Linked DNA regions of Pelodiscus sinensis. The protein of the gene in region 2 interacts with the protein of the main gene of each other region in a biochemical or structural test. Links are inferred from orthologs where the notes say so. Each region holds a gene or a part of one and is shown on either strand. Other genes may lie near its edges.

What was found.
Region 1: the proteins of SNCA (region 2) and SNCAIP form a complex in vitro, tested with the Homo sapiens proteins (3 studies listed by BioGRID and IntAct, with this or other methods). The link is inferred for Pelodiscus sinensis from reciprocal best matches to the Homo sapiens genes SNCA and SNCAIP.
Region 3: of the proteins of SNCA (region 2) and PLK2, one has a biochemical effect on the other in vitro, tested with the Homo sapiens proteins (2 studies listed by BioGRID). The link is inferred for Pelodiscus sinensis from reciprocal best matches to the Homo sapiens genes SNCA and PLK2.
Region 4: the proteins of SNCA (region 2) and YOD1 form a complex in vitro, tested with the Homo sapiens proteins (2 studies listed by BioGRID, with this or other methods). The link is inferred for Pelodiscus sinensis from reciprocal best matches to the Homo sapiens genes SNCA and YOD1.

Annotation. Positions count from the first base shown.
Region 1 is NC_134716.1:55,040,535-55,047,651, forward strand, and holds the start of SNCAIP (synphilin-1), read right to left. Parts: upstream 3,004-7,117; 5' UTR 2,163-3,003; intron 1-2,162. UniProt on the Homo sapiens protein: Isoform 2 inhibits the ubiquitin ligase activity of SIAH1 and inhibits proteasomal degradation of target proteins. Isoform 2 inhibits autoubiquitination and proteasomal degradation of SIAH1, and thereby increases cellular levels of SIAH.
Region 2 is NC_134715.1:16,040,173-16,047,713, forward strand, and holds the start of SNCA (alpha-synuclein), read right to left. Parts: upstream 3,013-7,541; 5' UTR 2,747-3,012; intron 1-2,746. UniProt on the Homo sapiens protein: Neuronal protein that plays several roles in synaptic activity such as regulation of synaptic vesicle trafficking and subsequent neurotransmitter release.
Region 3 is NC_134716.1:95,058,583-95,065,598, reverse strand, and holds the start of PLK2 (serine/threonine-protein kinase PLK2), read right to left. Parts: upstream 3,004-7,016; 5' UTR 2,961-3,003; coding exon 2,730-2,960; intron 2,122-2,729; coding exon 2,014-2,121; intron 1,869-2,013; coding exon 1,752-1,868; intron 1,576-1,751; coding exon 1,446-1,575; intron 1,191-1,445; coding exon 1,103-1,190; intron 740-1,102; coding exon 644-739; intron 401-643; coding exon 202-400; intron 112-201; coding exon 1-111.
Region 4 is NC_134737.1:5,465,598-5,472,452, reverse strand, and holds the start of YOD1 (ubiquitin thioesterase OTU1), read right to left. Parts: upstream 3,004-6,855; 5' UTR 2,841-3,003; coding exon 2,633-2,840; intron 989-2,632; coding exon 282-988; 3' UTR 1-281. Other genes in the region: PFKFB2 (6-phosphofructo-2-kinase/fructose-2,6-bisphosphatase 2), read left to right, coding at 4,335-4,425. UniProt on the Homo sapiens protein: Hydrolase that can remove conjugated ubiquitin from proteins and participates in endoplasmic reticulum-associated degradation (ERAD) for misfolded lumenal proteins.

The DNA.
Region 1 (7,117 bases), on a different chromosome or scaffold from region 2:
CTACACCAAGTGGAATTTTTTTATTTTCTAATTGGAGGATGTGAACCTGTTCCCACTGACTTCGAAGGAAGCAAGACACAGTACTGCCAACCTCATTGTTCAAAAGTCACGAATCAGGCCCTTAAAAAAATCAAGGCTTAAAAATCAGGAGATTTTAAAGACTAATAAAATGTGGGTTGTTTTTATTTACCTTCTAGTTTGGGGTGTTGTTTTTTTTGTTTGTTTGTTTTTTAATCTTTAGGGTATACTGCTATCATATTTCAAAGCTTTTCTCTGCAACCATAACACTAGAAATTTAGGGCTTATTTACATGGTGGGTGATAGGCATTATTAAGTGTGTGATTTCTATAGTGTACTAATGTCATGTACATAAATTAGTCTGTGTATACCCTGCTGGTATACACTGAAGGCTCTTTCATACTGTGCATTACCCTCTCTCTAGTCAAGCCCTTTCTTAAAAAAAAAAATTCACAATCAATTGTCTCCATGCGCTAAGGATGTAAATCAAACATCAAATATCATGAGCTGGCAACACTGATTTAGATCAAGCATTTGTATATTTCAGAGCTAATTTATATTCTAAGAGTCTGACCCTGCAGCCCTTACTCATACAAGTTTTTTTTACTCACACAAGGACTCCCATTGATATCAGCTTAAGTAAACAGTTTGTAACATTCAACCCTATGTTATTAGACTAGCCTTGGATTAATTTAACTATAATCTGTGCTGTAGTCCTCCCATTAGATAGACCTGTAATTAATGTTCTTAGAACTAAAAAAGAAAGGAATAAGCTATTTTCACTAACATTTCCTTAAGGTATAAAAACAGTGAACTTTTCTTCAATTTTCTTTTAACTATCAAAATGTACCAGTAGAATATATAGTGTTTAAAGCCATTTCCCCACAAGGGATATATGGCTCAGAACAGAACACAAATAAATTTGTATTGGCTTCAAATTTCATAGAAAATGATTTTTACAGTGCCACTTTGGAGAACTGACATCATTCATATACATGCTTGAGCTCTAATTAAATCCCTCGGATAAAACCATAATTTCATTTGGAAAACACAACCCTGGGCTGCTCCACTTCATAGGGTGAGAGAAGAGGCTCTTTTATCTGCTGTCATTCTTTTCTTTTACAGAGGAGGGTGCTTTTCTTCTTTGAGGGATACCTGTCAATCATAAACTGATAAGAAGCACAAGGCTCTGTTACTTGTTTTTAAGAGGGAAACAACGGGAATGGCATTTTTTTCACCAGCTACTCAGAGGAAAGCCAAAAATACAACAGGAACAGATAATTATATTGCAGGATTTTGTTCAAGGAACACTGAAAATTGTCAACAATAGTTATTTCTGAAGCCTATTTCTTCTCTGCAAGCAGAGTTCAGCGAAGAATGCTAGCATTTCCTGTGGAAATTGTGTGGTTGCCAGTAACAGCCTCCTAATTTTTCTTCTCCCATTTTTATTGTTTTGTTTTGTATTTAAAATAAACACACCCTGGCATTTCGACAACAGCCACAATAACCCTTTACCTCATTCACCACCTGCAGATGAAAGTCATCAGCAAAGGAAAGCAAAGGAGTCACATTTCAGCAAACAGCAAAACCAAAGCACACTGTAACCCAGCAAGAGAGGTGGCTGAGGATGTCCAAGTCCTGCATGCTGGTTTAGAGGTGGGGTAGGGGGGACAGACTCTTCCCACAGTATCCTTCTGTGCATTCGTTTCACCCAACCCTTCACGTCCCCCTGTACGAGATGGTGCCCGTGTTGCACAAGGCGGCTCGTTAAAAGCCAGGATGCCAGCGACAATACAAGCCAGGGTGCCAGCCAAGAAAGGGGGGCGTCCATGCCCCACAAGGTAGCGGGGAAGCTGCTGCCTCTTGTGTGTCAACCATCTCCCGGCTAAAACCACCTCTTGGCTGCAGCGTTACTATAGACACCGGCTGGGTCCTAACCCTTTCGCAGCGAGGCGCTCCTCTCCGCGAGACCAGCCGCGCGGTCCCCTGCCTGCGCTGCCGGAAGGGATGGGATCCCCCTCCTCGTGCTCAGGGAAAGGGGGTGCTGCTCCTCCCCCCCATGCAAACTTGGAGCCGCAGGCTGGGCTGCTCCCCTCCCGCGGGCTGCGCCCGGCCCAGGCTCCAGGGAACTTTGGCTCACTCACCCGCGGCTCCGCCGGCCAACGTGCTGCTGCGCGGGGCCGGGGCTCGCGCTGCTCCTGCTGCCGCTGCTCCCGCTCGGGTAGAACGCGGCCCGCCGGGCGGGGACGCGGCCGCCCGCTGCTTGCGTCACAATCACGCCGCGGCCATTCCCCACGCCGGGAATTCGGGGGGCTGGGGGGAGCCGCCACGTGATGAGCAGCGAGGCGCCGCCGGGCGGGGAGGCGGGCAGGGCGGAGGCGCTGGAGGCTGCCCGCCGCAAGCCTGACTGACGGGAGCTCCCCACCCCCGGGCCCCGCCGCAGCCCCGTCCTGGCCCTCGCCTCCCGCTGGATTCCCCCCGCCCCCGCGCGTGTTTCTTGCACTTTCTCCTTCGCCCCGCTGTGACAGCCCGCCCCTGCTCCCGCCCCGCCGCGCTGCCCTGGGCACTGGGGCGTGCAGGGGACTGGAGGAGGTTGCAGCTGCAGGGGGGTGTGACCCCCCCTTTTAGCCCCGGAATCGCCCCTACACACGCGGGGGACAAACGCTCTTCACGCGGGGCGGATGTGCAGGTCGAACCGTTGGCGGGTGGGGGCTCGTCGCTCCTTGAGAAGACTCGGTCCAGGTGAGGGCTGAGGGGAAAAGCCCGCTCCTAGCACCATCCCGCTCGGCAGGATCCCTGCAGCAGCAAGGAAGGACCGGCGGCGCCTACCCTGGTGCTCACAGTATTCCCTGCGGGGCTCCTGCTGTCACACAGCCCACTCCAGCAGCGGGCCCAACTTGTGCAAAAAGTAGCAACATAGGACCCCGTGTTCTAATTTGCTGGCAACATCAGGCACAATTTTTTAAACAGAGGTTTAAACTATCTTTAAGGTGAAAACACACATCAACTCATGCTATAAGGTATTAATCACATGGCATCATACTGCACTAAAAATACCTGAAAATGTTGGGTTTAATTCGTTCACATCTGTTTAAAATAAAACCGTGGGTTTTGGCTTAGTATAAAACCTGGAAAGCACACATCATGCTTTCCTTCCAGTAGATACAGATGGAGTTGGTGGCACCCTTGCAATGTATGGAATATGTTTCCATTAAAGTCATGTTAACTCCCTCTGTTAGAAAATCATATTTTATTTCATGTTATTGAGGGTTAGCATAGTTACAAACTGTTTCTTTGCTTCTGAATGTAGACTATTTTAGTCAAACATGGGCCAGGTGGTCACTCTATTTAAACATTACGGTAATTGTTTGTTACAAGGTTCTCAAGTGGTAACCATTGTGATTTCAGTGTGAGGTAACAGGAAAACACTACCCATAAGCTAAGTGGTAGTTTAGCTGCAGTGAAAGTTCTTTTAAATGCATTTCCCCTCTTTTTCATAATTTAATTTTATTCCCTTCTGCCATGTTTTCTCAGAAGTGTCTGGGATTTTTTTAAATCACTGTTCACACACATTTTCTAGTCTACCTTTTAGACTTATCCTGTTTTCTCACTGACTCCCCAGAGATTTTATACAGTTTTACATTTCAAACATAAATCAGGACTTGGATTTTCAGTCTCAGATGAGGCAACACTGCAAAAGCCCCAAAGATGCATACTGCAAATTAAAGTGAATTTCACGCATGTAAAAAGATTCTGGTTTGACATTACCGGTAACTGTTATCTACAGAACAAATATAGCACAAACAGTAACAAGTTTCCTCCAGTGCATCACTAATATTATTAAACCCATTCTGGATTGAACATCTCCAGGAATTCAGAGTGGTATTTCAGTCTGCATGTTCATTTACTTCTTGGCCTTCATGAGAGTTCCAGAGAAGCCAGTGAATCACAGTTCTTGGCCCATTAGGAATGGAATTGAGACCACCATTCGATGTCATCCATAGAACAGCCATCAGATAATAACTACTTTGAAACACTTTTAATCTGATCTGCATTTGCACCAGTGACTTGGAGATGAAAGACAGTATAGCGTTCCATCAATTCACTTGAGGTATCTAGTCCCTGTAACATAATGTATTCTCATATATGTCACAGCTCATTCAGTACACTTGCCCAAAGGATGAAAAGTGTTAATTTAAAAAAATTAATGTATATTGTTAAGATGGTATGAAAAGAAGCTTGCACGTTGATTACAATGAATTCTAGGTTTTCTATTCAGGCCATGCGTGCTATGCCTAAAATGTTAAAATGGTCTCAACGCTATCTGAGGAGCGTGTTGATTCAGGGAGAGGAAGAGAAGGGTTTTATTTTGGAAAGATTTCACTATTGCAGTGTTTTTAGGAAAAGGCATATGCAGAGACTGCCCATTTCACACTCATACTTACATAGAGATTAAATAACTGTTTTGGGGTATTTCAAATGCATTTGATTAGGTGGTTTTTTTAAAGGAATTCTGGTCAGCTGTGTGTGATTAAATGGTTTTTAAAAGAATACAGGTCAGCTTCAGAACACAATGTCACATATAGCTCATGCCTGGTTGAAGAACATAGTGTCTATGGAAAAGAAAAGCAGTATATTTTGTAATTTAGGGGCCATAAATACACTCTATATTTAAATGCAGCCTTTTAGCCTGCCAAGTATATTTTTATGTGTTACATGTGATAATATCTCATGTAGAGCTGATATTCCTGTTTATGGACTTGCTCCTGCACTCTTGGTGGGAGTTTTTGCTTGAATGAGGAGAGCCGATCATGCCCTATATGTCCATATAAGCAATAACTTGGCATACAAGGGTCAGTTCTTATAAGGATTGCAAGATATACCATATCTGTACTTTATATTACACAGTACTGTTAGTACTCTTTTTAAAAAAATCACAGGACACCAGGGCTGTGTCTACACTGACATGAATTTCCGGAACTGCTTAAAATGGAATACTATTCCGTTTTCAGTTTTTCCGGAAAAGGAGCGTCTACATTGGCAGGCTGCTTTTCCGGAAAAGCCCTTTTTCTGGAAAAGCATCTGTGGCCAATGTAGACGCGCTTTTCTGGAAAAGAGCTCCGATCGCCATTTTCGCAATCGTGGCTTTTTTCCGGAAAAGACGACTGGGCTGTCTACACTGGCCCTTTTCCGGAACAGTGTTCCGGAATAAGGACTTATGCCCGAGCGGGAGCAGAATAGTTTTTCCGGAATAGCGGCTGATTTTGTACAGTAGAGCATCGTTGCTATTCTGGAAATTCAAGGGCCAGTGTAGACAGCTCGCAGCTTATTCCGGAAAAGTGGCTGATTTTCCGGAATAAGTGGCCCAGTGTAGACACAGCCCATCTGTATTTTTATAGCATACAAACAGGTACACGGCTTTATTGAAATGTAGAATATTTCCCTCTTACCATCTTATCTCCAGACAAGATTTATTGAAAAATAGGCACTAGTATACTTTTTTTTAAAAGATAGTTTACCCAAGATCAGTTCAGTAGTACATGAAAATGCTCTAGTATTACAGACAGACTGATCATGGTAATGCATGTGATAAGAGTAAAGAGTATCTTTCATGTGTGTATGTAAGAGACCAGTCTTGCTTCCATAATAGGGAGTGGGAGCTGAAGGTAGACAGCGGATGGTTGCAGGGCTAGATCCTAGGGGCCTGAACAGGAATCATTCCATCAACTTCAGTGGACAATGGATTAGGGCCTGTGTTTTTAACTGTGACCTTCAAATAAATATCGGGTGTTTTAGTCTAGAACTAAAATATTTTGCAATTTAATAATATTTGTATTTTCTATCCCACAGCTTGCAAAATTAAGCAATTACAAAAATTCTACAAGCTGTAAATAAAGGAATGTACAGTACTTTATATCTGTAGTCAGCCTCCAGTTTCCAGTATGGTAATCTATGACTTATGGTGAGTGTGATACAATCATGTGTTCTCATGGGTGTCACTTTAAGTAAGAACTAGTTATTGCAGAGAAACTGCATTAACATCTTTTGAAATAACAAAGGGTAAGTTTTAACTTGCACTATGAATGCTTCCTTTTTATATTATTTAGGGGCATTCAGGAATTAATTGTTTGTTTGTTTTAAGTTTGCCACTCAACTTTAATTCTTGGTGAAAAATATTCCCCTCTAAAAGCCTAACTTATTTCAGACAGGTGAGCTAAAATTAAAGACATTTTCCCCTCCTAACTTTGAAAGATTGAAAAAAATAGGACAGATTCAAATTAGCCCTGATTTTAGTCTTTCAAACCCATTCTGTATTCTCCCTACTTGAAATTTTTCATATAGTAGACTACATTATTCAAACCATGTAGGATATGGGAGAGTTAATCCAAAACTTTTTGATGCACATTGAGTAACTCTCAGAATGCAAGTCGCACCAATAATGTTTGCACAAAACCCCTGTTCGTTTCAAATTGCATTGTGTGAACACTAGGGATGTGAACAACTAGTCAAATGATGCTTATCGGACAGTCGATAGGCTAGTCGACTAGTTGCTTCCCCACCTTGCTGCCTCTATCACAAAGAGGCAGCGGGGGAACAGGGGAAGGGGTGCTTCAAAGCGGCAGCTCCGTGTGGAGCCAGGGGTCAATGAAGGAGTCTCCAGCTGACCCTGGGCTCCATGTGGCACTGCCGCTTTGAAACGCCACGTGGAGCCCAGGGTCAGCTGGGGACTGTTGAGTCCCATGCTGGCCCTGTGCTCCCAATAGTGCTTTCACTTTTGAAGTATAACAACAGCCCTAGGGCTGTTGCTACACTTCAAAAGCGTAAGCACCCTTATTGACTAATTGAGTAGTTGATACAAATTGCATCGATTATTCAATTACCAAATAATCAAAATTTTACATCCTTAGTGAACACATGGAAACAGTTGGCAGCAAAGTGAGGGCATAGCATTCTCTGACAATATCTTATGATCTTTTACTTCTCTGCTGAGAAGCATGCATCCCAGGATTGTTTTTGCTGAGAATTGTGCAAAGCCAGGTGGATCCAATTTAAAAAAACAACAACATAGTTTTGGTGTCTCCACCCCACCCGTTCTGGG
Region 2 (7,541 bases):
TTTTATTCTTGAATGAGACACAATTCCCACAGACATGAATGTGAGTTTTGTTCTACAGACAAAAGGATTTAACCCTTTAGTTGGATGGTCTACATGTTTTCACTCAGAGCCACGAATCTAGTTCAAAATGCACCAGCAACTTAAAAACAAATAAAAATACCACTCATTTATCTGAAAATTGCTTATCTACTATTGTAGTAGTCTCTATTATAAACCCTGTTATAGCTATATTATCCACCTATATTCATAGTGGTCCCCTCCAGCCTTAGAATCTGTGAAGCTATTAACAGGAAAAGATTAAAGAAAAAAATCTTTGTACCCTATATACTTGCTTAGTGCATCTGACAGCATTTTGCCACAGTCAGTTTCTCTTTTTCCTTTGTATAGACAGTTTACCCTATTATTTGTGGCGGTATTTCTGGCAGCAGTGGAGATGGAAAACTCATTTATACTTTTTTAAAGGGAAATATTATTGTAACGCCACAATCACTAGTAGGTGATTTCAGGGGCAGATGTGGGACTAGGAACTTCATTTAAGTCCTTAAAAAGGCAATGCTCCTTTAACAAATTAACTCTTGGTGATCTTTTATTTCTCCACCTATAGAATAAGAATTCTGTTGGTACCTGTACCACTTCCTTTATTCCTCTGATGCTGCTGACTAAGGGTATGTCTACACAGCAAAGTTATTTCAAAATAACGGCCGTTATTTCGAAATAACTATCCTAGCATCTACAGAGCCATTCCGTTACTGCGAAATTAATTTGAAATAGCAGAGGGCTTATTTCAAAATTGTTAACCCTCATTCCACGAAGAATAGTGCCAATTTTGAAACTACTATTTCAAAAATAAGCGCTGTGTAGAGGCTTATTTCGAAAAAAAGGGGACCTCCAGCCCTTCCCAGGGTGCCCTGCTGGCCGCTCTGGCCACAAGGCAACTTCTGACCTGATGCCCTGCCAGAACTGGTTCCAACCAGCCTTAAATGCGATTCAACGACCACTCAGTGTGGACGCGCTATTTCAAAATAGAAAAACACTATTGCGACCTGCATTTTGTGTGTAGACGCGTTCTTTCGAAATAAGCTATTTCGAATGAACTATTTTGAAAGTAGATATTTCAAAATAATGCTGTAGTGTAGACATACCCTTTGACTGGGTGCCAAACATCTGGGCGGCAGCAACCACTACCTACTTGTGATCATTTAAATGTGGAAATAAACAGGAGCGAGATTTGTCTCATTAGCACACACTGCAAAATCTGTCACCCTCCCACAGAAAGGGAACAGCTTTCACACTGCTTTAAATAGGAATCTCGGGTGAAATGCATGAGATCGAGCCTTCTGCCGTCACACAATCTCTCTGGAGCTACGAGGGTGAGGCTGGATCCACTTGACACCTACCCTCAGCCGCAGGGGAAAGCTCCAAATCCGTTTTAGGAGTCCCGCCCTGCTCCAGAAGGCTGCAGCTACCTGGACACAGTGTCCTAGTGGAAATTAGCCGAGCGGGGATGAGACATCTCTGCGCACGTGGGCAATGCCCGCTCAGACAATAGTGGCTCCAGTCCCTCGTCCCCGTCTCCCGCACAGGGAGCTGCACTCGGAGCTCCAGAACCGCCCCCCCCCCCTCGCTTGAGGTGCTCTGTGGGGCTTGCTGGGGGTGGGGAGGCTCCTGCTGGTGGGGCGGCGCCACTCCTGAGCCTGCCCGCTACCAAGCGGGGGGGGGGGGGGGGGGCGGGCAGCTCCCGCCCGGGACTGCTCCTGGGGGCACCGGCACGTACGGACCCCGCCGCCCAGAGCGACCGGACAGAGCGCCGTGACCATAGAGACACAAACAGACCCGGTCACGGACACGGGACAGAGTAGCAGAGGCATACAGGCACCTATAGACCCTGTCTCATGGACAGGGCGGGGTGCTAGGACCATACAGGCACCTATAGAACCGGTCTCATAGACAGGGCTGGGTGCTAGGACAATACAGGCACCTATAGAACCGGTCTCATAGACAGGGCGGGGTGCTAGGACCATACAGGCACCTATAGAACCGGTCTCATAGACAGGGCGGGGTGCTAGGACCATACAGGCACCTATAGAACCGGTCTCATAGACAGGGCGGGGTGCTAAGACCATACAGGTACCTATAGAACCGGTCTCATAGACAGGGCAGGACGGGGTGCTAGGACCATACAGGCACCTATAGACCCGGTCTCATAGACAGGGCGGGGTGCTAGGACCATACAGGCACCTATAGAACCGGTCTCATAGACAGGGCGGGGTGCTAGGACCATACAGGCACCTATAGAACCGGTCTCATAGACAGGGCGGGGTGCTAAGACCATACAGGTACCTATAGAACCGGTCTCATAGACAGGGCGGGGTGCTAGGACCATACAGGCACCTATAGACCCGGTCTCATAGACAGGGCGGGGTGCTAGGACCATACAGGCACCTATAGACCCGGTCTCAGGCAGGGCAGGGCGGGGTGCCAGGACCATACAGGCACATCACGACCCTATAGGCACATACAGACCCACCCTCCTGTCCGTCGGCAGGCTGGATCTATATGTCCCTCCTCCCCCCCCCCCCCCCAAATCAGAAACCCTTCCACCAGGCGCGCCCCGGCTGCCGTGCTTCAGCCAGCTCCCTGGCACCTGCCCCGCTCCGCCCGTCGGGGAGGACCCTGGGCCGGTCCCCCCGCGGGGGGAAAGCCAGAGCCCGGCCACAGGCAGCGCAGCCCCGCCCAGGCTACTTACCGCCGGACGGGACTTCAGCCTGCAGCCGTGGGGAGCCTGCGAGCGCCGGGACGCGAGCGGTGGGTCGCACAGGCCCCGCGGGAGCTGCCCCCTTTCAGCGCATCCCCGGCAAAGCGGGCGGAGAGAAGCAGGGAGCGAGTCCGGCAGCTCACGCGCCCGGTCCCAGCTCCGCGGGCGGGGATCGGAGAGAAGGGGAGGAGAGAAGGGAGCGGGGAGCGATGGTGAGGCGCTTCTAGCGTGCGAAGCAGCCCCTCGCCCTCCTCCCCCGCCCTCTCGGCTGATTTGCCAGGGGGAAGAAAGAGACACCCCTCCACCCCCAGCCTTTGGGCTCCAGTGCCGCTCCCCCCCCCCCCACATCCAGCCTGACGTGGGGCGGGACAGCTCTCTGGCTACAGCACCCCCAGCATTGAGACTGCTAATGGGAGTGGAGTGGAGCTTGGGCCACAAGCTATTTTTAGCCCGAGTTTATCTACCCCAGTGAGTGCCTGGTCCATGTAGACATAATCACAGATCCTGGGGGGAATCGTATTTCACCGCTGGGGATTGCAGGGGCCTGGCATGGGGCAGGCCATCATTAGCTTCTCCAGTTCCCCTTTGACTCATTAACAACAATAAAGCTGGATATATAATAAAACCTAGGAGGTGGATACATTTTTATTCAAGTTCACACACATTAAGGCTAGGCAAGATACCCACCGGGTAAAATGGAAAGATAGATCCTCTTGATCTTCCTTTCTAAGGGTATGTCTACACTACCCCCCTAGTTCGAACTAGGAGGGTAATGTATGCATACCGCACTTGCAAATGAAGCCCAGGATTTGAATTTCCCGGGCTTCATTTGCATAAGCGGGGAGCCGCCATTTTAAAAACCCCGCTGGTTCGAACCCCGTGCAGCGCAGCTACACGGGGCTTGAACTAGGTAGTTCTGAATAGGAATCCTAGTCCGAACTACCTAGTTCGAGCCCCGTGTAGCCGCGCAGCACGGGGTTCGAACCAGCGGGGTTTTAAAAACGGTGGCTCCCCGCTTATGCAAATGAAGCCCGGGAAATTCAAAACCCGGACTTCATTTGCAAGTGCGGTATGCCTACATTACCCCGCTAGTTCGAACTAGCGGGGTAGTGTAGACATACCCTCAGCTCCCAAATTATCCCAGAAAAGAAAGAACAGCAGTAGTTTTTCCAAAGTGCCTAAGGTCAGAGCCAGATTATCCAGTAAACACAGTGCATATAGCCTACAAAAAATTTAGGGCCCCAAAAAAAATCATGATTGACTCAAAAATAAGAAAATAAAACAGCTCAATCACACTTAATAATTTGCTATTTTTATTAGAATACATGTGCAAATGTTGAAGATCAATTAAATGGAGGTGTTATTAAATCTTTAGTCAACAAACAACATGCAGGTATAACATACAATTAAATATTTATTTTGTGACTCTTTCTGTTAGCAAAATCACAGACTACATAATCAAATGTTATTTTTCTCAAAAGCTCACTCTCAATTGAAAGTAGTGCAAGGGAGATAGTTGTTTCTGACCCATAGTAGACTGAAGACAGTCCTTCATATAGTTTAACTTTGAAAAAGAGTACTCCCTTCACAGTTTGCTCCCAAGATGGCGAGATACATTCTGAAAGCAATGTTGACATTGGAAAACTTGTTACCAACTTGTCTGCCATTTGTGCACTGATCATTGCTGCCACAGATTTCTTCTCTACATACCATACATATGTGAGAACAATAGAAATTCATCAGTAAATGCATGTCTGAGATTTGAGGGACAGATATCTACTAATGCCCTTGCTCTAGAGGCAACTTCAGCACTGGACATTGATCTATCCACAAGAAAATTGAACCTTTCATTCAACGTGGCATACGCTGCTCGTTGTCTGACCATCTCAACAATATGTTTATCCAGGATAGGATAAAAGCACTGTATATGAAATTTATCCCTGGCACTCAAACAGTGTTATCCATACCAACTTCATCAGAAAATTGATTTCTCCTTCGTTTGCATGGTATGGTCTCATTGTAGTCGGACGGTGTGAGATCTTTTGCAGTGGCCTCCAACACATGAAATGTATTGCGGGTATCATGAAAGTGTGCTAAAAGACCATCATATAAATTCATTACAGTGCACAACATGTAGCCAAAAAAAAATCGGGGCTTTTTTGCGCAAAACAAATCTGAGCTGTCTACACTGGCCCTTTTGCACAAAAGCTTTTGTGCAAAAGGACTTTTGCCTGAACGGGAGCAGCATTGTATTTCTGCAAGAGGCACTGATTTCTTACATGAGATCGTCAGTGTTCTTGCGGAAATTCAAGCGGCCAGTGTAGACAGCTGGCAAGTTTTTCCGCAAAAGCAGCTACTTTTTCGGAAAAACTTGCCAGTCTAGATGCAGCCAGAGAGCGTTCACATTGTGATGTGACTAAAGTCATGACAAATGCCCCGTTTTGGCAACAAAAAACTTCCATCTCCACCAGAGACTTTTGTCTCTCCCCTTGCCATGACTGTTGACAGTCATATAGTGTGTACTACAGAAGGTTTTTTGGTAAATTTATTGACCTCCAACATGTTTCCCATACTGCCCAGTTAGCCACTCTGGCCAGTGCTTGGAACTCTGCTGCTCTGCAGACATGTAAACAGATGTGCCATTTCCACCTGCAAACCTTGGGAACTTGAAAAATCCATTTGCTTGTGTCTGGCTCATTATGTAGTGGTCCTCATGGTATCTTCTCAGGGAATCGGGGGGTGGATATTACTCAAGACGCTCTTCTGGTTGAACAATGGGATGGTTGGACAGTTTGCAAAGCCCATGCTTGCAAACCCAGCCATTATGTCATCTACATTTCCCAGAGTTACAGCCCTATATAGCAAAATGTGATGTATTGTCCTGTGCACTTATGTAAGTACTGCCTCCATGGTAGACTTTCCCACTCCAAACTAATTTGCAACTTAACAATTGCAATCAGGAGTGGCCAGCTCCCATTCTCCGTTTTTGTGTCACAGTTCAGGGGACCAGCTCAGCACACAGCTCCAGGAAGGCGCTTTACACATCTGAAAGTTCTGTAGCCACTGGTCTTCATTCCACACCTGCATGACAATTCAATTCCAAAACCCAGTGCTAGTTTTCCTAGCTATGGTCTATGGTGCACAGCTAATCTGTGATAGCCCAATGCAATGACAATTCGTTGGTGTCCCTTTCTCCATTGTTAAATGCATCCAAGTTTTCATGCTTTGTTATTAATTGCATAAGTAGCTGTGCTACAATGCATGATGTACTAAGCACATTGAACACAACATGGGAGAGAATTGTGGGGTTCATGATTTCTCACAGCAGATGCTGGAGTTTTCAGCAAGGATTGCAATTCAAGTAACCTGGAAACCCAAAGAGAGCTAGGAAGCAAAGAGGTGGCTGATGGACATTTTTCTATGCCTTGTGCTATGTTGCACATCCCCACAGTGCTTAGTAACTAAAGGTGATGCCAGGGCACTGTGGGATGCTTACCCATATTGCTTTGCTCTGTCTCTTGACAGGATGCTAACTATGTGGTCATGAGATATCAACAAAGGGAGGCAGAAAAACAGGTTTGATCAGTTTTCATTTCTGTATTTCTGTCTACAGGGTGCTAACAATGTAGCCATGAAATGTCTACAATGGGTGGCAGAAAAACTGGTTTGGCTGGTTTTCACTTTTGGCGACTATTGTATGTCGACAGCACTTTCATCACCAAACCTTTCCAGTGTAGACATAGCCTGACTGAGAATACAAATCTCTTCCCTTAAATAACATTGCACTCAAGATGAGCTTTTTCCTCCCCTCTTCCTCCTAACAATAATTGCATTACATAAAGGTGTTTCATCTCACTCATCCTGTGCTGTACAATTATACTTGAAAGGGAGGGTGTGTTGTGGGGGACTCTAGGTCCTCCCTCCTGCTGCTGGGGAAAGAGGATCATCACAGCTGTAATTTATTTGTCACACATTGGAACTGAGGTGTCAAGGATTTCTGTTGTTTTATTGCAAGAGTGGGGTAGCAGGATTCCTGGTGATCAGATTCCAGCTGCTTTTATATAATTTAAGTGTACAGAGAAGCCTACGAAATCAAAATAAGCAGTTTTATTTCCTATTCATTGCTGAAAATAGGAGAAAGTACATCCAGGGAAATGAAAACATAATCTTACAGAGTTGTGGTGAGGATATGGCCCAGTTCTTTCTGGACAATTTTAAACATGTATAAGCCATGACACACCGAGTTTAGAAAATATTCTCAATACATCTTTGAAATCGTTGGGATTTAGGTACCTAGCTGCATGTTTATGTACCTAAATGAAAGTGAATGGTATTTTGGTTCCTAAATCCCCTTTGAATGAATTCTAACAATAGGCACAACCACTGTAAAAGATTAATTTCCCAGCACCCAGGATTCATTTGTTCAGTGCAATCCTTCATCTAGGACCCTGATTAAAGTGGTTTCAAGAAATATGAACATGTTCAGTTGTGTGTCATGACTCTCTTGTACTGTGGCAATGATGCACTGCATTATATATACTTTTAGATATACACTCAGACCTCACCAGGTTAGTTCTATACATATAAAAGATGCCAAGGATTATTTTTCACTTAGAAGTCCGGTCTATGCAGGAATTTGTTATATTTTAGTATGTTATTAGGCCTTCACCTCTGTAACTGTGAGATCAGCTTCTCCTACACTTTGGACCTCCCTGGTCCGACCCCCTCTGGACCTGACCAATCCTGGATGAGGGATTTTGCTGGATCAGGGGTGGTTATTTCTGTA
Region 3 (7,016 bases), on a different chromosome or scaffold from region 2:
ACCAAACAGAGCAGCAGCTGCCTTTTTGAAAAAACTCTTAGCTGGACTTGACAAGTGGAAGTCAGGAACAGTGTGACAACAGCTAGAAGAGAGTCTATCTGGTGTAAAGCCCTGTGGAAATTAAATATAAGTCAATAATTTGAAGACTGAGCTGCACTTAGAATAATAGAATGTTTAGGACAAAAAAGTCACAGTACAAACCTGTAAAAAGAAGTCATGTCGAATTATATCATCTAAACTGGGCCGGTCCTCGGGATTCTTTGACAACATGCTAGCTATTAAGTGCTTCGCAGGTGCTAACAGAGATGATGGCAGAGTATATCTTGCTTCCCTTATACATCTGTAGGTTTCTTTAAGGTTCGTAGTCTCAAATGGAGGTCTTCCTAACAACATTGTGTACCTGTTTAAGAGGAGTAAGAGGCACTCAGTACTTAAGTAAATGCAACGCTTCAAAATCTTTTAAAAAAAGATTAAAATTAACCCATTTCATAGGCAAGAAGGTTGCTCTGATAATTCATATATGACGTTGGTAGGTTACCCAGACTTCAGGTATTGTGTTAACCCAGTCATTGCCTCCACTTTTGAACCCTAAAGCCATTTCAAGGTTATCAAGATAGCTTAGAGTCTTTGAAGTGATACTTACATTACACAGCCTAAGGCCCATATGTCAGATTCACAGCCATGTCCTTGTTTGTTCAGGACTTCTGGAGAGAGGTAATTTGGTGTGCCACAGATTGTTCTGCAAACCAAAAAGATCAGTAATCAGATATCAATCCAGAGAAGAAATTGGGCAGGAGATTAGAAACCCTCAAGAAACAGCGTGAATCATGTTTGCACTGTTAACATTCCTATTTAGTATCTTCAGTATTCCAGGATATGCCATACTGAACACCTTGCTGCAACACTTAGTCAGACATCCTGCCTCTGGCATTGGCCATCCTCTAAGTGTCCAGAGACAAAAGCCACCCTGCACATATTACAGTACTTTTATATGAAGAAAAGTTCTGACCCCTGCAGCAGTAAGCTAGTCTTAATGTTCCTCTAATTTTTAAGGTCTTGCTCAGAATTAATGCTGTACCTTAGACATTCTTTAGACTCTTACCTCCTTCTGTGTTCCAGTGGTTCCAACCTTGCTGCCAAACCAAAGTCTCCTACTTTTAGTTCCATGGCTTCATTAATGAAGAAATTACCTAGACAAAAAAAGGGAAAATGAATTCCTTCATTGCAAGATAGGGATGCATTAGCCACTAGAGCTGAGTCACACTAATAGAAGCCAGCAAACAGCCAAGCTTTTTTTAAAATGAATACTTAATATCATTACTTAAGTGCTCCAGGCTTCCATTGTAGAAAAAGACTGAAGGGATTCTATCAATTGAGCTGTCAGTATGCTAAGTGCCCAGTGCTGGAAACAGTGCAATTTGCAATCAATGAGAAAAATGACTTACCTAGTTTAAGGTCTCTGTGCAAGATTTCCTGTTCATGAAGATATTTTAGTCCAGACACTATCTGCCTGAGGTAGTATCGCACTTCTGGTTCTGTCAATACCTTCCTTGCTTTCAAGATATGAGCCATAGACTGCAAAAAACAAAACACAAAGAGGTGAATTAAAGGTCTCAAGTAGGTTTCACTTTATAGAGAAATGACCACCTAAAAAAAAAAAGCTATCAGAAATACCTTTCACATATTATACATTTACATTAGCTGCAGTTCCCAGGTAAGTGAATACTGGATTTCTCCCAGTTGATGCTCACCCTTCTACTGCAGTACTCCAGAAGAATGTAAATATTTTCTTTGTCTTCAAAGTAGTGGTAAAACTGCACAACATGCCTGTGATTAAGCATTCTGTGAAGCTCAATCTCTTTATCAATCTAAAGAACAAGACATAAGAAAAACATATTAGTCTTATAGCTCTGGCTGAGGAGTCTGCTAACACCAGCAGGCATTTCTAAACAGGGGAAAGGCCATGCCGCACACAAAGAGATTTTTTTAAGAAAGAGTCACTCATGCACACACCTTTTCCCTTTGATGAGGTTTAGCCACTCTGGTGTGAGGAATAATTTTTGCAGCATAGACTTTGTTGGTCGTTAAATCTGTCATCTCATAACATTTGGCAAATCCACCCTAAAGAGACATACCAAAAAAGGCAATTAAACATGGTATGAAAGGTTCCACATTTAATCAGTCATCTACTGGGTGCATGATTCAAGAGGCTCGAAAGAATAGAGAGTCTTTGTGATTGCCTCCGCCTTGGGCATTTCTGTAGCAGGCAGACCCCACCTCGCTGTGTAGGGGAAGGGGGAGAGGAGAGAAACCTAAACCATTTTTACAGACACGGCTGAGGGAACACACACTTTTAGGGTGGGAGGAAGGGCCGATCCAGTGGTGGGGCAGAGAGGGCTGTGAACACAGTATGCTCCACGCGGCGCGTTTACACAGACAAGGAGATCCGATCCACGTTCAGACGGGGCGGCACAGGTCCACCGCGCTCATCAGCGAGCGAGTCCAGCCAGGCACACCGGAGGGCCTGGGGCTGCCGAAGGGACATGCAGCAGGTAGCCACGCGAACGGCCCCCGGCGCAAGGGGCGGGGAAGGACACTCCTGCCCGGCTGGAGGAAGGACCATGCCGCGCGAAGGGAGCAGGGAGAAGCCCGGGCTGCTCCCCGGGGCGAGCCATGCGAGTCGCTTCCAGGAGCCCCCTGGGCGGCGGAGGAGGCGCCGGGTCCTTTACCTTGCCGAGCACCTTGCCGCGGCAGTAGCGCTTGCCCGAGCCGGGGTCGGTGATAATCCGGGAGACCTCGGGGGCAGCCTGCGAGTGATGGTGCTGAGGCTGCTCCTCCGGCGCTTTCTTGCGCCGGGCCTCCCCACCGCAGGCCCTGCCCAGCGCCGGCTCGCCCCCCTTGGGGCCGCCGCTGCTGCTGCCGCCGCCCGGCTGGTGAGCGATAGTCCGCAGTAAATCCATCTCCGCTCGGTCGGTCAATCAGCCCCACTGCGCGGAGCGCCGGCCCGACTGGCCCCTTATATCGCAGGAGGCGGCGGCCCCGCCCCGAACCTCTCGACGTCACAAGGCACCGCCTTCTAGCCCGCCCCAGCGTCATCTGCTGTACCCGCGCGCTCTGGCTCCCTGCGCGGAGCTGCCCGCCTGGGGCTGCCGGGTCGCTGCTGGCAGGGCTCTGCCGCGGGGTGTCACTAGCGGCCCCAGATCGCCCTTCTCCCGCGGGGGCGGGCCCCGTCCCTCAGGAGCGTGCACTGGGGGCAGGGACAGGGGCTCACTCCAGGACCGGTGGGGGCGCGATTCCCCAAGCGATGCAGACTCCGCAGCCCGGGGCCTGGAGCCGGCGGGTGCAGGGCTAGCGGGGGAAGCGAGCCCGGGTAGTACCTCTACCGTGGCTCAGGCGCCTTCCGTGGTGGACTGATAAAGTTGCGCATCCCCGGCCCAGCAGAGAAGCGCGGAGTCAGTAGACCAGTAGGGGACGTGTGTCCCGCAGGGGCGCAGGGACAGAAACTGCGTCCACCGGGTTGAACACGCCCAAGGGCAGTTCCCGGGTTGATTTTTTCCCATCTAACGCCTGTTGGTCTGAATAGGTCGTGAGGGCAATGCTCACAGGGGTAAGGTCACATGCCCCGGCTGCACCCCAACCAGCCAGTTGCAGACACATCTCCTTACACCCCCCCCCCCCCCACTCTCCTCTGCTCTCAAGGGCAAGGACAAGAGCCCTTGTCACTTCCCCAACTCTTCCTCTTGAGGGAATGGGACCCAGTTGGGGCTAGGAAGCATGCCATGTGAAACACCTATGACAAGACCAAACTACTTGGAAAACAGATTTTTCTTTGAACATAACAGTGGGTTCAGTTTTATTAAAATGTCACAAGGATGCACACACTTTAGGGGAAAAAAGCCAAATCAGGTCCCTTCCTAAGCCAAAAAAAGGGGGGGCATATGTAAAATGAAGATCGCTTTGGCTGAAACCATGAATAAAATGAAATTTGACTGAAGGAGGGGGGATACCACACAAAAAGAAACAAACGTTTTCAAGGAAAATTCAACATTTTTCTGAATATCTCAGGACCAGAAAGAGACACATTTGTTGCCTTTGATCCATATCTTACTGAGAAATGTTCTCCATTTAGTCCATTGGCTACTGAAGCAGTGTTCATCAGTGATGAAACAAGTCTCTGTGAAGGACCTAGCCTGCCAATTAATAATCACGCCTTGGATTGACCTCATTGGGTACAATGTTGTATTAATCTGCTGCAGGTCTGAGATGGGAGAAAACAGTTTCTCCTTTCCCAGGGCAGAGCAAAAGGAAACCCAGAGCGACACCTAGCGGAAAATGTAATCAGCACAAAGGGCTGGGGGGGGGGGGGGAGGGGGGAATTAATGGTAACTAGCCTATCACTGCAGTTCTGCAAAATTCAGTTTGAAGGCCTTTGACTACAATGGAAAATTTCAGTTGGATATTCTTCAGTTGGTGTCGAAAATATGTTGTGCAGTGTTACCTGCATTATTAAGTAGCTACCACATGTCTCTCTAGTTATTCTAGTTAGGCATGTGGATTAGAAACTGATTTACTAGATCTTTTGGTAGTTTATATAGCTGTGTGTATATATTCATGTCTTAGGACTGTGAATTGGTAAATCTAAGAATACTAGAGAGGCACATTTTAAATATTGAAATGAATAAAGTGCTTTGTGTTGCCTCATTGGAATGAAACGTGATACATATATGTATAATTACACTATTTCCTCAGTGGATCATACTTATTTTAGATTTTTTTATTATAGTTTGAGGATATTTTCTCTGTCCTTACTGGTGATAGATCTTGTCAGTCATGTAACCTACAACATCAGTTTTCAGAGCATATAATTACATAAGTGGTTTGTGTGTCAATTCTTGAGCCTCTCCCTTTCACACATTTAACTAGAGCACACAGCAACAAAATGTTTGTTTTCTAATGCTCCACCATGTGGATAATAGAAAAAATGCAACAGGAAAACATTTAAGAAGCCGTATGTGTTTATTGTGTTTTACTATGGAAAAACATTGATTTTTATCTCAAATATTTTTAGGTGAGCATATAGGAATGAAGTCAATGTTATTTAGTAGTTAGATTGACAGGCAAACAGTTCAGAGAGCAGGGCTTTGTTCACTTTTATAACTGATGTGGTGATGTATGACCTTGAGCACCTCGCTTAGATCTGTCAGGGGCTTAGTTCCCCAGTCTGTTTCCCTTATAACTCAAATACTTTAATTTCCCCCCCATCTGATGCTGGAAGTTTGAATTATACTCTAAAGAACAAATGACTCTCCCAAACTTTGTAAACTGCTTGGTACACCTCTGGTGAAAAATACTAAATAAATGTAAAATATTGTAGACTACAGCCCGCTCCTGGTCAGAATCAGAACTACTCATGCTAATGAATTAATTTTAAAATATCATAAGCTGGACCCCATTAACAGCTAATGGAAATTCACTAGTTTCAGAGGGATAGCCGTGTTAATCTGCAACTGAAAAACTTAAAAAATAACTAATAGTCTTGTAGCACCTTAGAGACTAACAAAAACGTAGCTGGTTGACTTCAGTGGTACTTAAGCCACATTCAGTGGGACTTAAGTACCTGCTTTAAAATCAAATACTTAAGTGTTTCACTTAATAGATACGTGTGCTTAGCTGAAAGAAAGTTTTGAAGCAGAATAATCTGAGTTCTGCCCCACTGTTCCCAAGGAGTTCAGAAGTGACAACTGTGAAGCCCTGGTACTAGGCAATTGTACAGTATTATTTGGGAATGTTTCTTTAGCTGAGAGAGCCGTGGGTAAATGTACTAGCTAAACTTTAAGGTGTTGAGTTCATGTTTAGATTTAGTAACAAGTAAAAGATATCTGTTTTCAAAAGGATCAAATCTCAAAAGGTTATAAGATTTTGTCAGTTTAGTTAGTAAAAGCCACAAAAAGATTGTAAGCAATAAACAAAATTCATAGAAGCCTCCAACCTGTCTATTATTAAAAATAATGGCACAGTTAGTAAGGGGATGACGGAAGTCTCAGCCCCATAGTGCGAGGAGAGAGAACCCCAGCACTTCCCACAGGAATTGCCAGCTCTGAAGCCACCCATCACCCATGGCACATGAGTGTTCTGAGCCCCGGCCAGCCATGGTGGTTCAGTCAATTAGCAGAGTTTTTCCCATCTGTTGAGACATTGAGATGGATTTAATCAAAATTAGAAGTCTGTTTAGTATCATGGAAAAGGAAGGAAGTTCCTTATCTGAAAATTTACAAACTTTTTTTCAATTTTTTGGAATTTGGAGCTGAAGTTTGGGGCATTTTTTCTTTATCTGAACAGGTTTGCCTGGCTTGTATGTTTATGTGCTTGTGACTCTGTACCTCAAAGCAGCACCCTGGAACCCCCATATTCACCACTGTCATATAATTATGATAACATAACTTGTGAAGTGTTATTTTAGAAGTCTGAATCTGCTGAACACTAAAAACCTGTTGAATTGTAGGTGCTATCATCATTGTATGTGAAGTTATAAAGTACAGGTTCAGTCTCTATGGTTACACTGACCATATGGCCTGGAAAATCCGGGACACTCCCAAATTTTAATGTCCTGTCCCGGTGCCCCGCACAGCTCTCAAATGTCCCAGAAAAGGTCCCTAGGCTCCAAGTGCAGGAAGAAGTGGCAGCTGATTCCCCTCCCCTGGCTAGGGGACGAGTCAGGAACACTTCCCAGCTTTTCCTGCAGCTGGGGATCTAGCCAATAGAAGCAGGGGAGACATTACCTGTTAGGAGCACGTGGAACACACGTAAATGGCTGGCCTGGGGGCTGGGGTGGACAAGCAGCACGGGGCGTAGGGGGGAAGGACTAAAGAGCAGCCCAGCTGGGCAGGGAAGCTGAAGAACGGGACCGTGGCCTGGCCCAGCTGGCCCAGGCAGGTGGCACTGAATAGCAGCCCACGGCCTGGCTGGCCCAGGCAGGGGAGGCCAAAGAGCGGCCCACAGGCTCGCTGGGGTTTGGG
Region 4 (6,855 bases), on a different chromosome or scaffold from region 2:
ATACAACAAAAACAGCTGCCACTTACTTTAAAATCTGCATGCAATCCAGCATGCAATAAGTTACCTATTTCAAACTAGTTGGGAAGAGAGCATCACTACCGTATACCTATCTGTAAACCTGCACACTAACCATAACAAACCTGTGTGTCTCAATAATTAAGTTAATAGGGCTTTTCAAGCTTTGTGAAGGGAGCTTTTTATGCTTACATACAGCTTATCTGAAAACCCAGAATCTTATTCTGGATCAGTGAGGTAGTGATGTAACCATCCTCAAGCAGATGTCACACTTCTCCAAAATTCGTGTGCCCAGTCTCCTTTGCGTGTTCTCTGGCTTCCACTTGTCCAGTTAATCCCTTCTGGCACACCATGCATCTCAGCGTAAAGCGGTTTACATCAGTAAACTGCCTTTTTCGTCTGGCTTCATCTGCTAATTCCAATGCTTGTGCAAGAACAATATCATCATTTGTTGAGAAAATGGTCAGGGGAGGGACGTCTGAGTCCGGGATTTTACGTTCAAGGGGATCATAATGAATCCCATCATAAATCAGAAGGACCCGCTTAGCATAGCCAGCATCTTCCCCAAAACGATCAATTCGGACTGTCTGTGTATCCACTACACAGATTTCACACTGATAAAACTTAGACAAAATGGACACTTCAATGGCTCCTCCCCATGTATCTTCTCTTCTGATCCATTCACAGTACTCTTGATTGGTTTTCCCTAGTACTGCCTCACAATAGGACTCCGGATCACTTGCCACTATCTGAGCTATAAGACTGCGCATCTCTGGAGCACATGCTGGATCATAAATGCCCCCCTCTACCACATAGAATATGCTTGTGAAGAGACAAGAGTTATCTGCTGGAACAACCCTCCTTCCAAGTACAGGCACTGCCCCCCTGACAAAATTAGGGACACTCCTTTTTGCAACTACAGGTGACTCAGTCTTGGGTTTGGTTGTGTCCTCTTCAACTATTAGAGTATCACCTGTCAAAAATAAAAAGAGACATGAGATAAAATCCAGCATTGAATCACCATAATGCATTGCAAACAAAGGAAAAACTGCACAGTGAAGCAAATCTTTGTCCCAGTGTACCATGCCTCGGTTCTCTGATAAGATTAGATAAGCACAATAGAAAGCATTACCCATTTGATAAATTACATAAGCCACAGCAAGATGTAGAAAATAACAGTAGCTTTGGGACCTCACTGTATATGGCTGGTAGAGAGACACAAGCTTTGTGCTGAAATCTCTAAATTGGCAAAACAAGTAATATTTTCAAGTTTGTCTAAATCTGGGCCACAAGAGGAGTGATATTTAGAGATGTTTATATTTACAAGCTGCTAGATAAGTTTAAGTCACTGACAACACTATTTTGCAATCCTTTAATAAAAAGGGTGGTAAGTGAAGCATCCCAAATGAGTTTCAGTTAAGCTAATTATAATCTGCTTGAAAGGCAGGCTCAATTAAGTCTGGTATTCTGTTGCTCATCCTGTCTTGAGCAGTAAGATGTAGAATAATATTGTTTGTGTGCGCATGTATGAAATAATAATAGAATATTGTGTTTTTAAGCTCCTGCTGCCTTTTACTCCAGCAAGAGCTAGATCTTTTGCAATCTGTTCTTTTACAGTTGACTCATGCTCACAAGGCTACAGTATCTGGGGAGAGAATGAAATAAGCTAGAGAAAGGACATGCTTGCTAAGCCATCCATTTCAGTGAGCCCTGAGCATCACTTCTAGGGACAACTTCAACTTACACTTGCCCTCTCAGATCATATTCTGGAAGAAAATTGGCATGACCATATATACCAGACGAATACAATGAAAAAAGTGAACACGTTATTAACACCGTTTAATAATGTGTTCACTTTTTTCATTGTATTCCTCTGGTATATATGGATATGCCCAGGGCTTGACAAATCAGTGAATCTACTTGCCCATGGCAAGTCCACTTCAGCCGGTCACCCCGTTCACCGGTGACACGGGCATGCGCAATGTGGGTCTGGCAAATAGATTTTTCCGCTGTTTGTCAAGCCCTGGTCATGCCAATTTTCTTCCAGAATATGATCTGAAGAAGCAGGTCTGGCCCACAAAAGCTCATCACCTATTACACCATCTTGTTAGTCTCTAAAGTGCTACACAGTATTTCCTTTTGTTTTTGCAAAATCAGACTTAACGGGGCTACCTCTCTATTGGTACTCTTACCCCCAACAGTCTGAAGAAGTGGGCTGTGCCCACGATACCATCTACCTGTGTGTGTCTATAAACAGTGCTTGTTTTTTTCCCTGTACTGACTAAGTCGGCTCGCCCCTGAAGTCTCTACCACGTCCGTTGGAGAATGACGAAGCGTGAAGCAGACAGGGAAGGTTCTGCTCGCTCTCTGGACCTGGAGCCCAGATTCCTACCCCTCGGGCCAGCTGTGCCCGGCGGGGCACCCCACAGCCTCGCTGGAGCGAAGAGCGCGGCCTGGGGACGAGGGGGGGGGCCGGAGCCAGTGTGACCCCCCCCCTCACTCCACCGCTGGGTTCCGCCTCCAGGGGCAGAGACGCTGCCACTGACCCCCCGCCCCAGCGTGAGGCAGCCAGGACCGCCCCGCCCCCCAGGAAGGGGGGGCTCCCCGCGCGCCTCACCTGAGTGGATGCCGAGCTCCCCCAGCCGCCGCTCCGCGTCGCTCAGGTCGAGGCTGCGCGGGGGGAAGCCGAGCAGGAGGCGCTGGGCCGGGGCGGGGACCCCGGTCAGGGCGGCCAGGGCGGCCTGCAGCTCCCGCAGGCGGGAATGCGCCGTGAGGCCGGGCAGCGGGTGGGAGCCGCTCCGGGCCTTGCAGCGCAGCCGCAGCATCCTCCGCCGGCCCGGGCCTGCCCGGCCTGTGCTGCTGCCCGGGCAAAATGGCCGGCCGGGCCGGCGGCCGCTGCCAGGGCTGCCCCGACAAGTCTCGCGACAACGGGCGCCGCGGCCGGCTATTGGCTGCGCGCGCCGGGACCGGCCCCTCCTCCCCGGCGGAGGGGGCATGTTTCCCTCGCGCGCCGGCGGCGCGGCCAATCCGCGGCTTGGGGTGGAGACGCCCGTGGTGGCGTCACACGCGCACGAGGGGAGTCTCACAGTCGGGGTGGGAGGGGGGAGAAGAGACGTCATTTTGCCTTCCCGCGGTCAAGGTGGAATAGGAGCGGGTGGGGGCGGAGTTCTGTTATAAACTCATTTGCATATTTGCACATTATTTGCATACTAGAAATTCCTGTTCTTTCGCTCGTTCGGAAAAAAAAATGGAGTGAGCTTTTCTACAGTTTATTTATCCATGGGCACATTTGCATCTCATTTACATACCTGGCCTATGGGCGCGCTGACGTGTCCAGGCTTCTTTGAATTGCGCGTGTTCATTTGCATAGCATGGCCCCTCCTGCCTGGTTCCGCGGGTCTCCACCCCCCCCCCCCTTTTCCCAGCGAAGCGGCGTCTTAGTCACGCGAGCGCTCTATTAGCATATCATTTGCATCTCGTTCCTTGCCCCGCCCTCTTCCCTGTCGGCCAGCAGGTGCGGGACGAACCTTCCCAGGGCGGCGCGGGGGAGCCTTGCTGCAGTGCGGGGCCCGCCAGCCTCGGTGCGTCCATGCCCTTGCCCTTGGGGGAGGCTCCCGGCCGGTGCCCGAGGCTCGCAGAGCTTGACAGGGGCAGCAGCAGGCTGGCTTCCCGCCCCTTCCTGGTACGGCTCGCGCTGAAGGCTCGGGGTTTGGTGCCTCAGTTTCCCTGCGCTGCCAGCGGGTCTGTCTGGGGGGCTCTGCAGGTCCGTGCCTGAGGAATGGCTGAAATCCTGGAGCGGGGCTTGTGAGTGCTGGGACCCGCCCCCTGGCTCAGAGGATGCTGTCAAACCATCTGAGCCATAATCCCTGCTGGTCAGCTGGGGGGGCTGCTTGGCCATCTCCAAAAAGTGCCCCCGCAGCTGCGGAACCGCTTCGGGAGTCTGGGGAAAGGCTGTTTCTTTACATTTGTGGTGATTCGCACTCAAGGGTAAATACAGGTACATTCCCCTTATTCCTTGGCTGAGATGATTCATTAATGTTCTAGGTGAAGGCGGCATTGTTTTCCTCCTGTGCTTCGTTTTGCTATGGTTTGTGTTCTCTTGTGCCAACTACATATGTTACCACCTGAGGGTGACCTTGGACTACAGCTTTGAGACTTGCATGGCTTCCTTTCCTTGCCACCAGGAACAGCACAGATAAGTTGCTATGCATCTTATTCCGCTCTGTCTACCGGATTTCATAAGGATTTATGTTTGGTTCTTCTTTTCTTTTCCAAGAGCCTGAAGGTCCATTACTGACTAAGTGTGTTGATTAGCAGCAATGTCACAATATACAGCATCAGTCCCAGAGCAAAACAACAACAACCAGGAAAACAAAACTTCAAATCTCCGAGTCTCAGAAAAAAAGTGTTGTGAGTATTTGTGACAGTCTAGGGAAATAGATCCTGTGTCTTGCAATTAATTTCTCTTTTACCTGTTTATAAAAAGAAGTAGTCAATCAGTCACGCTTTATTCCTTCTACCCCGGGGCATAGTAAAGGCGAAGTGGCTTTCCTTATGCCTCTTCCCAAAAATGCTTCAGCTCTGATCTGAAGGGCTGTTCATTTTCTGTCCCCCATTCATTTCTAGGCCTTTTTTGCTGAGTCTGCCAGCAAGGGGAAGAACTGTGATGTGTTTTTATGATATGTACTTGGACCTGAGATCCCCAGAAATTTAATGTATTTAATGTAGGCTCCAAAAATAGTACTAGACAAGTTTATAACTGTGTACAATTCTTGTTTGTATCACTTTTATCCAGTTATATTTGTTGAACATTTTGCTCTTCTGGACAAATGTTGACCCTTCAAGTTAATAACGTTTTTTAATTCAGCTCTTTTTAGAAGGAAATCTGTTCAATGTGGATCTGAGTTTAAATGTAACGTCTGTTCCTGAAAGCTACCCACGTGTATTAGGCAAGAACTAGCACAACTGTACTCAATAGGGATTTAAGGTGGCTCACCTTGCCTATTTCCATCTAATGTGCTTCATCAGGTAGTGATCTGGGCATGTTACATCTGTGACAAGTTGAGCTGATTCCATCTAACAACCTCCATTGAACTCTTATAACCTAGGCTTAGTCTTCGGTTGTGAAAGGCCAGGTTTAAGCAAAGAATCACAAAGTTCAGTAGGAAAGGACGCGCACACGCACACTGATATGATTTAGAGCTGCATAATCACCAGCGGTCTGCTTCGATTTTTACTGCTTTCCAAGTATCTCTCTTTACTCTTATTGAATATCTTTATTAAGGATTACTTTTTCCCAATACGTGCTAGTTGCCCTTATCCATATTACATTCATTTTGTTATTTCCTGCTTATGTCTCTAACCCATAATTCAGTGTCTTTACTGATTTTTCAGAACTTCCCAATCTAAAGATACGTCTACACTACAAAGTTGTGTTAGAAAAATGGCCGTTTTTCTAACACAACTTGAGGACTGTCCACACTGCAATTGTGTTCTTCTGCAAGAAAATCTAAAGAACCAGGGGGTTTTCTGGCATTGGTAATCCTCATTCTACAAGGAAAAAGCCTTTTTCCGAAAGAGCTCTTTCACAAAAAGGCATGTGTGGACAGTGAAGAGCAAGTTCTTTCGAAAGAAGAGGAAAAAGGGAAAAGCACAGGTGCCTTGGTGGCCATTCCATCCATAGCAATCACAGCTTACATGCAAGACAGCTTCCATTCAGTGTGGATGCTCTCTTTCGAAAAAGCAGATGGCTTTTTCAATGCACTTTTGCAGTGTGGCCGCTCTCTTTGTGAAGAAGTTTTTTCGGAAGATCTCTTCCAAAAAAAGCTTCTTCTAAAAGAAGCCTGTAGTCTAGATGTAGCCTAAGTCACTTTGGGAATTTACATTTAACATCTTGTTTGTCTCTTCCTCCAGTTCCTTTATAAAGCTATTTCAAGGAACATCGTCCATGCAAAGGTTATGTTTGTGTCTGACAATGTTTTACCTGTTTTAAGTAATCCTTAAAATGACTATGACTGGAAAAGACCATGGGGAAAAACATTTTTTTTTCCATTTGTTTACTTTGCACTTATGACAGCAAGGAATACAGATGGCTTCCCCAGAGTCAGTTTCTTTGTTACTATGCACGAAAATCCACACAAACAAGTGAGAGAATTTAGAGTATTAATAATAGACAAATATGGCTATAAAACTATAAAAAAAATTGGCATTGAAGCTTGGGGGCAAAAGTAGTGCACAGATATATATATATACCTTTAACAGAATCTTTGAAACTGACAAGATTTACAACAGACAAAATCCCATCAGCATTGCAGTTAGATTTGAATTGTGTCTTGTGTGGCAAAACCGTCTCATCAGGCCATTTAGATACAGGAAAGTCCTATTCTTTCCATTTTGTCTTCTATTTAGTTTATATTCATTTGCTTTGACCAGTTTAATTATGGCAGCACATGCTCCCATATCCCTGTCTATAATCAGTCTCTTTCGTAGAGTTCTATAAAACTGAAAGTTTTACTCAGTGGATTCATTAATTAATTCATCTGTTGCTTTTGGAGAATTATCAGAATTTTTAAATAGATACTAGAAATTTTATGCAAAATCAGTACTGGTCAAAAATCCTGCTTCTTAGCAACAGATTAAACATTATCAACTTTGTTTCTCAGATCATTTGTTCATTATGATATGGAAAGAAATTAGCTTCCCGTCTATTATCAATAAAGAATTTTTCCTCTGTCCTTGATAGCTATTGCTTAATTGGTACATACTTTCAACTCTGACTGACGTATTTTGGCTGACATATTAGTCACACGTTATTTTCCCTGTTCACGGTGGCTGATCAGT